2 linked regions of the Notamacropus eugenii genome follow. The protein of the gene in region 1 interacts with the protein of each later gene in a biochemical or structural test. Links are inferred from orthologs where the notes say so. Each region holds a gene or a part of one and is shown in the gene's direction. Other genes may lie near its edges.

Region 1 (3,753 bases):
GCTGGCTGGTTTGACATAGAGGGATATGACAGTATGGAGTTCATACAGTGGAAGTATAATAGAATGGGGAAAAGACAGAATAACACAAAAAGTGAGAAAGCTAGAAATTCCTCTGGGACTGTCTTGAGAAGATTTTGAGAGTCCTTATTAGCTACTGCCAAAATAAACCAGCACATAATAGAGACAAATAACTGCAATTTATTTATCCAAGAGACACTATCAGTAGGTAATGGACATGTGTCTGACAATTCTGCAGATTTTACATATATATGTATATCTATAAATACATAGAAAGTCTATATATGCGTGAATATATACATATATACGTAGACTCTATATATGTATATATATGCGTGTATGGGCATCTAGACAGGACAGTGGATAGAAGGAGGAATGGAGAGGGAGGGAGAGAGAGAAGTTTTTTTTATGTTAATGCAGCATCATTTACCTGTCTTCAGAGAAATTAGATGGGATGCAATTGTCACATTTGTCTATATCTCCAATATATTTGTCAACATCTCTAACATTTCAGGAAATATCTCTGGGCTTCTGGGGAGAATTTAACATCTTTTCAAATGCCTCCTCCAATGGCTCAAACCCAAGAATCACAACAAAATCCATGTGATAAAATTGAAGTTGGTCTCATCCAAATTAAAAAGCAAAACAAAAAATCCCGAGCTCAGGCAGTTTCTTTTGGACAGTGATTGCCATCCCCAAATTCCAGAGCCATGCCTTTATTTGCATTCTCTCACTGTTGTGAATTCTTCATGCCAAAGGTTGGCTACGTTCTTAAATAGTTACAAAATTGAGGACACTCATGTTCAGTTAATGTCAGGATTTAAATCCCAAAGTGTTTGTCCCTTCCAAGGGACAATGCCTTTTCTAACAAAATCTTGGCTTTCTATTTGTAAGGAAGGAACTAAATTACCATGCCTTTCTTTCCTAGGTTCCCTGAGCTCTTGGAGGCTTTCTCTCCCACTCCCTCTCCAGTCTGTCTCTCCCACTCCCTCTCTGAGCTGTCACTCCCCTGTAGCAATCTCTTGCATTCTAACCAGAATTCCTCTGCTCTGCTGGTTAGGGCTAAGTAATCCTTAATCTTTTAAATCCAGCCTACTGGAGTCCATCTGCCTTGGTCTCTGGGCAGGTCAGTACTCCTGGGGACCAGAATCCAGGCCCGACTGGTGCTCTAGTTGCAGTAATTTTGGATTTATGACAGACTGGATTAGAAGATGCCAGGATTAGCGGCTTCTAGCGGCTTCCTCTTATCTCCTCCCCTCAAAGTTTGCATCGAATTCATTTTCCGGCCCTGGGGTGGGGCGCTAGGAAGACGTAGAAGGAAGGGCGGGGTAGGGGCTGTTTTCCCAAACAGGCCAAAGCCACAGAGCATGCCTGCATTGGGGACTTTCTGGAATCCGCTGGGTCAGCCTTCCCCAGTTCAGTCTTGGAGCACTCCGGCTCAGAGTTAGGGGCAGGGGGCACCTCGGGAAGGAGTCGGGTCCGTCATGGCCAGTGGCTGCAGCCTCGGGGATGAAGAAAAAGAAGAGGAAACTCTGAAGAAATTGATAGTTAGGCTGCAAAATGTGCAGGAAGGAAAACAGATAGAAACCCTGATCCAGATACTAGAGGATATGCTGATGTTAACGTACTCTGATCACGGTAATCCTGTAGTTGTTTCCTTTTTTTTTTTAAACTTGGGGCAAATATGGCAATAGAAGGAATATAACCACGTCCGTAAAAGCACGGGCCCTTCCAAGGAATCTTCTTGCAGACAGTTTTCTGCATTGGCTCAGCCTTTTCGGGGAGCACAGATCGCTTTTAGGAAAAGAATTGAAAACGAAAGGACTTGCTTTCTCTTATTTTCTTTCATTCTTCTGCTTTTAAAAAGCTGCAGCGAATAATAGTTTTCGTTTGTTTTCTTCCCCAGCTTCCAAGTTATTTAAAGGCAAAAATGTCCATATGCCTTTGCTGCTTGTTTTGGATTCCTACATGAGAGTCGCAGGTGTGCAGCAGGTAAAATACGCTTGATTTTATCTTTTCCCTTTCCTTTTTGGAAAGAAATATTTTAAACTCAAAGATCTTGGGAGAAACTGTCCTAATGAACCCCTTATATACTTGGTCTTATTATTAAGAATACACTGTTTTTGTGCTTGCTGTGATTTTTAAAATGGTGAGGGTGTTAAATGTTTTTTGAACATTTTTTTTAGTGCAAAAGGATAGTGACTCATTGAACTAGCCTTTAAATAATAGCATAAAATACATTGACAGATGACAATTGTAGTGGAATTGTTGGAGGAGGGAGCTAATAAGGTGGAGAAGCCGGTAGGTATTAGGGGAATGAAGATGATCTCAGGTGAGAAATAAATGTATGAATACAAATATTTAACCATTTATCATGGTTCAAAGTGTAGTACTGTAGCTCATATGGCCACTAAAATATTTAGCCAAGTTAATCAGTTGTGTTACATATTGTCACACAACAAAAAACTCCTTTTTATCTTTGCATTTCCCGCAACAGTACAGTGTCTTTTACTTGGTAAGTCCTATGTTGCTGTTCAGTCCTGTCTGACTCCTGACTCTTTGCGATCCTGTGGACCATACATGGTTGTTTTCTTTTTTGTTTTGTTTTGTTTTGTTTTTGGCAAAGATACTGAAGTTGTTTGCCATTTCCTTCTCCAGTGGATTAAAGCAAATAGAGATTAAATAACTTGTTTTAAGTCACACTGTTAGTAAGTGCTTGGGGTCATATTTGAACTCTGGTTTTCCTGATTTCAGACCTAGTCTAACTACTTAGCTTCCTCTAAGTGCTTAAAAATGTGAAACCGAATTAAGATATTAGCTATATTGTTAAGATCCTCACTTGGGATATAAAATTTTTCCTTAGTACTGTTCAAAAGATCTTAGATGTAGAACTGGAAGTAATCTCAGGAGTTATCAAATCTAATTCATGTTACAAGTTAGGAAACGGAGTCACAAAGGATAACTAATTTGATCTAGGTCACTCAGACATTAATATTAGAGGGAAGGTTCCAGACCCAAGCCCTCTGACTCCAAATCCACTTTGTCATACATATAGATTGGACTCAGTAATATCTCTTATTGCTACTCTTCTTTGTTTCCATCCATTGACTGAGTTTGCTTTGCAGTATCTAGAGAGTGCTTTTGTGCAGTGCTAACACTGCAAGTTATATTTCATTTGTATTTTATGATCAAGTCCAAAGACAACTAGGTAATTTTGTGTAGTACTTTACATGGCAAGAAAAACACATTCTCTTTTCCCCGTTACCATTTATTTTTTTTCAGTTTGAGTTGAGATGTAAGCAAAATAAAATTAAAACAAAGATATGATAAAGACTTTTTTATATTTTTCAACACTAGGTTACTATTAGACTAAAATAAAAATTTCCCCTATGGCATATTCCAATATTTCATTTCAGCAACACATTTATTAAATGATTATTTTCTATGAAGTACTGTGATAGACCTAAACATAAAGATAATTAAAACATAGTCCATGTCCTCTGGTACTTATAGATAGATTTTTGATTTTGTTGTAGTCTGATGACCTCTCATGTTAACTTTTTCAGTTAAGTAAGTTTGTGTTTATCAGGTGACCGACATTTCCCTTCTCCAATTAATGTTTGAATTAGGTCTAAGGTAATTGATGGTATCAAGAATCCTCTGGAAACAGTCTGGTGTGTAAGCTGGATTTTATCTGTACTGTCCATAGGAGTTGTTAGACTGAAGTCCTGGCAT
Region 2 (3,753 bases), on another chromosome or scaffold:
CTTTCGAACCTGGCGTGGTACCCAGGGACCAGCTGGGCCCCGAGGTCAGGCTGCTTGCAGCTTGTTGCCTGAGCCCCGCGTTTTCTGCATCGAAATAAATCAAATTGTTTAATAAAACACGGGTGTTTTCTCCGTCCTCAGCTTCTGGCTTGGCCCACTGTGGGTGAGTAAGGGGTTTAACCTTGGGAAGCGCAGACGGAAATGAGCCCCCACCCTCCGCTTTGCAGTAAAGCCATTTCACCGTTCGGTGGTTACGGGGTTCTGCCAGTGCACTGGGTGTCGGGCAAGCCCGGAATTACGGCTGGAATTAAGAAAATGCAGATCTTTACGCAGATTGAGACAAACGTGTTTCCAGTAAAAAACAGAGACCAGAAAATGGGACATTTTCCCCTGGGGAATACTAATTTAATAGCTAGGGGGTTTTTGTTTGTTTTTAGTTCTGCCCGGCAGGCACTTACCTTCAGGGCCCAGTCACGTTTTGGGGTTGGGATTTGTGGAATGGATGAGAGTGAGTGACGGGGATAGCTTCCCCTCCTCCCCTCACCCCCCAGAAAGGCACTGCCTGTGGCAAATGGAATCTTAATATGTAATGGTTTGTGGTGGCCAAATTAGTAAGGTTGTCTGCCTACCTGTAAAAATCCTACACTCCTCCTCCTGCCCTAATCGCATTCTCTTTGTTAGGAATAGATAGTATCAGGCTCAGGTTTTACTTGCCCTGTGTGGGTGGATGGGATTTGGCCAGATTTTGTGAATCTGGAAAGGCTGAGAAAAAGCCGAAAGGTCACGCATGTAAATCTATGGAACGATGAAAAACCATTTACATAGACATGAATACATGGCAACCTGGGAGCTTGGAAGTTAGATTTTTACTTTCAGTCTGTCCGAATTTTGGCCTTGTGCTATATGCTACAGACTCCTCCCTGTATGTGTACCTCACTGTTGGCTGGAAGATTTCTTCCAGGTCTTCTCATTTTTCTTGAATTCCTGCTGAGGGTAGCACAGGAAAAGCTGAGAATAAAACCATATGAATTTTTATTGGGCTGTTTTAATCTAGGGCATGAAGTCTGACCTCCAAACTCAAAAGGCCAATTCACTACCACTGGATTCCAATTGTCAGCTCACCTGGTGAGATTAGACACTATTAACCCATTTAAAAAAAAAAAAAAGAATTCATAAGAAGTGTGATTTGACCTAGACCACACATTAAGCCTTAATGGTCCTTAGTCACAATTAGGTATTCATATGGGCAAATGTAATTCTTCGAGTTATGGTTAAAATTGGGCCATCATACAGTAGTTATGGATACTGATACCATTTTAGAACTAGAACATTGTAGATCAGGTGGAACAACAGAGCTGACTGGGTAAATTCCTGAGTAGACAGGCTAATAGAGATCCAGAGCTCAGGTCACTTGCAGCAAAAAATGGAGGTTGCATATCAGATGCCTTCAGCTGTGATCCAGCCCAGTTGTAAACATGTTGCTTTCATAGTAGTACAATCAGGAAATTCAGGTACTTTTTGTGTATTAATACAGATGTTTCTTCTGCTTGTAATACCTTTCTCTCTTGAAACAGGGACTGACCGTTGAGTCTGGAAGACCTGGGTTCAAGTCCAGCCTCTGATATTAGTCGTGTGATCCGGAGCAAGTTACTTAAAATTTTTGTTGCCCCACATGGTTCTCTAAGGCCAAAAGTTGTTGAATAATTGCTGATCATTAGCATTGGTTGAGAGTTTCTTCCCTAGGAGTTCCCTACACAGTGAAATCACAAGTCTAGACTAAAAAATCTCAAGTTTGAACTAAACCCTTATTATTATAGACATTAACTAATTGGAGGGAAATCATTTTTGGATCTTCAATTTAGTGAACAAGTCATATGGTCAAATAAAGTAATTAGACATAAGAATAGCATTTTTTTCCTGCTTGTAGGATTTTTTTAAAAAAACTGCTGTTCTGTAAAAGGACAGAATATTTGGAATATCACTTTACTTTTTGGCATACATCATGTCATAAGTGGTACTGAAAATAACATCTTCATGATCAATCATTTCCTGGGATCAGGAAATTATACTTGTCCAGTCACTCACTTTTCATTAAATAAGAAAAGAAACCATCTGAATAAGCAATATAGCTCAACACGTTGTATAGCCCTTCACAATGAACAGCAAATGCTTTCGATCCTTAGTGTGTTCTTCTTGTGCTGTGTTAAAATACAGAATTGTGTTTAAGCAAGAAATTGATTATGAAGACAAAATCTGTGGGGTACATATGGACTGTCTTTCAAAGGGATTTGTGAAGGGTTCTGGTGTGTACTAGTAGTGGGGTTTGGGGCAGCATCTACTAATAGTCAGTTTTCCAACACTGTAATTTTCTTTTTTTGCACCATATTATACATAGTAAAGCAGCAAGAAATTTGTTGGTTATTTTTAGGCTTATCAGAATCTAATAGTTTATTTTCGCAGCCCCAGAAATCCTAGGTTCTTTTCAATTGGATTTTGAAGGTATGGACTCTTAGCATCAGTTTTTCTGTACTAGCTTAATATTTTTTCTCAGGTTAAATTTCTTACAAATGTTTCTATTGGAGTAGATACCCTAATAAGCGTTGTCATCTAGTGGAAAGTACATTGGATTAAGAGCACTGAGTTATAAGATGTACTCAGCTTTGTAACAAACTCACTTAGACTAAATGATTAACTTGTTTACCTAAGGAAGGATATAGTTTCTTATCCCCCTACCTTCCTCAGAGAAACAGTGATCCTTGTAACATGCCATAAAATCACAGAATATCAGAGTTGGAAGACATCTTAAAGATCATCAGGTCATGTCCTCTGCTCAAAAAGGAGGATCTGAGTCCCAGTGAGGTAGTGACTTGCATAGTAAAAGAACCAGTATTCCTGACTTCCATTCTAACATCCTTCCCTATACTACAAAGTCTTGAGCAGTATATTATGTTCAGAGAATTAATTGACATTTGAATAACCCTTAAAGCTCTTTTCATCCATTATCATTTAGTCCTAACAACCAGAGATGGAGGTAGTGATGGAGTGGGAACAAGTGCTTACTGATTGTCCACTGTGTTTCATGCACTGTGCTAAGTACCTTATAAATATCTCATTTGATCCTCAAACTACAACCTAATGAAGTAAGTGGTGTTATGACCCCTATTCTATAGTTGAGGAAACTGAGGCAGAAAAAAGTTAAGCAACTTACCCAGGGTCCCAGAGCTAGCAAGTTTCTGAGATTATACTTGAATTCAGTTCTTGCTAACTCTGACTACTAACTCCAGTACTTTCTTTACCTCACCACCTAGTTGCCTAGTTGGTAAGGGATTTATTTATTCTAGATTATTTATTTATTCTAGATTACATAGTTAATAAGTAGAGCCAGAACTTTAACGTGGATCTTCTAAATCCCAAGACACAGTGCTCTTCCTACCATACCAGAGAGACCAGGAAAATCTAGCCATGTTTTTGGCAATCTAATAATTGAACCTAAAATGATTTTTTGGTCTTATATCATCTGTGATATATGTGACGACCTATAATGGGAAATAAATAATCTTTGCCAACTTGATTGTAAATGATTATTCCCTTTATTTGTGACTGAACTTTCTAAGGGAAATACTTAGTACCTTAGTCCACTTTTCCTGCTTGTCCCCTTAGTGACTTTTTATGTTAAAAACCAATAATCTCACAGCTTTTTCTCCTAAAATGTCTTTTAATGTAGACACATATATCTAGTTCTAATACTTGGAA

Evidence for each region. The genes of interacting proteins can lie anywhere in the genome.
Region 2: the proteins of LRRK2 (region 1) and YWHAB interact on a protein array, tested with the Homo sapiens proteins (2 studies listed by BioGRID and IntAct, with this or other methods). The link is inferred for Notamacropus eugenii from reciprocal best matches to the Homo sapiens genes LRRK2 and YWHAB.

What each region holds. Positions count from the first base shown.
Region 1 is NC_092874.1:212,969,378-212,973,130, forward strand, and holds the start of LRRK2 (leucine-rich repeat serine/threonine-protein kinase 2), read left to right. Parts: upstream 1-1,342; 5' UTR 1,343-1,502; coding exon 1,503-1,656; intron 1,657-1,924; coding exon 1,925-2,010; intron 2,011-2,016; exon of another isoform or gene 2,017-3,753. UniProt on the Homo sapiens protein: Serine/threonine-protein kinase which phosphorylates a broad range of proteins involved in multiple processes such as neuronal plasticity, innate immunity, autophagy, and vesicle trafficking.
Region 2 is NC_092872.1:521,249,296-521,253,048, forward strand, and holds the start of YWHAB (14-3-3 protein beta/alpha), read left to right. Parts: upstream 1-1,574; 5' UTR 1,575-2,499; intron 2,500-3,724; 5' UTR 3,725-3,753. UniProt on the Homo sapiens protein: Adapter protein implicated in the regulation of a large spectrum of both general and specialized signaling pathways. Binds to a large number of partners, usually by recognition of a phosphoserine or phosphothreonine motif.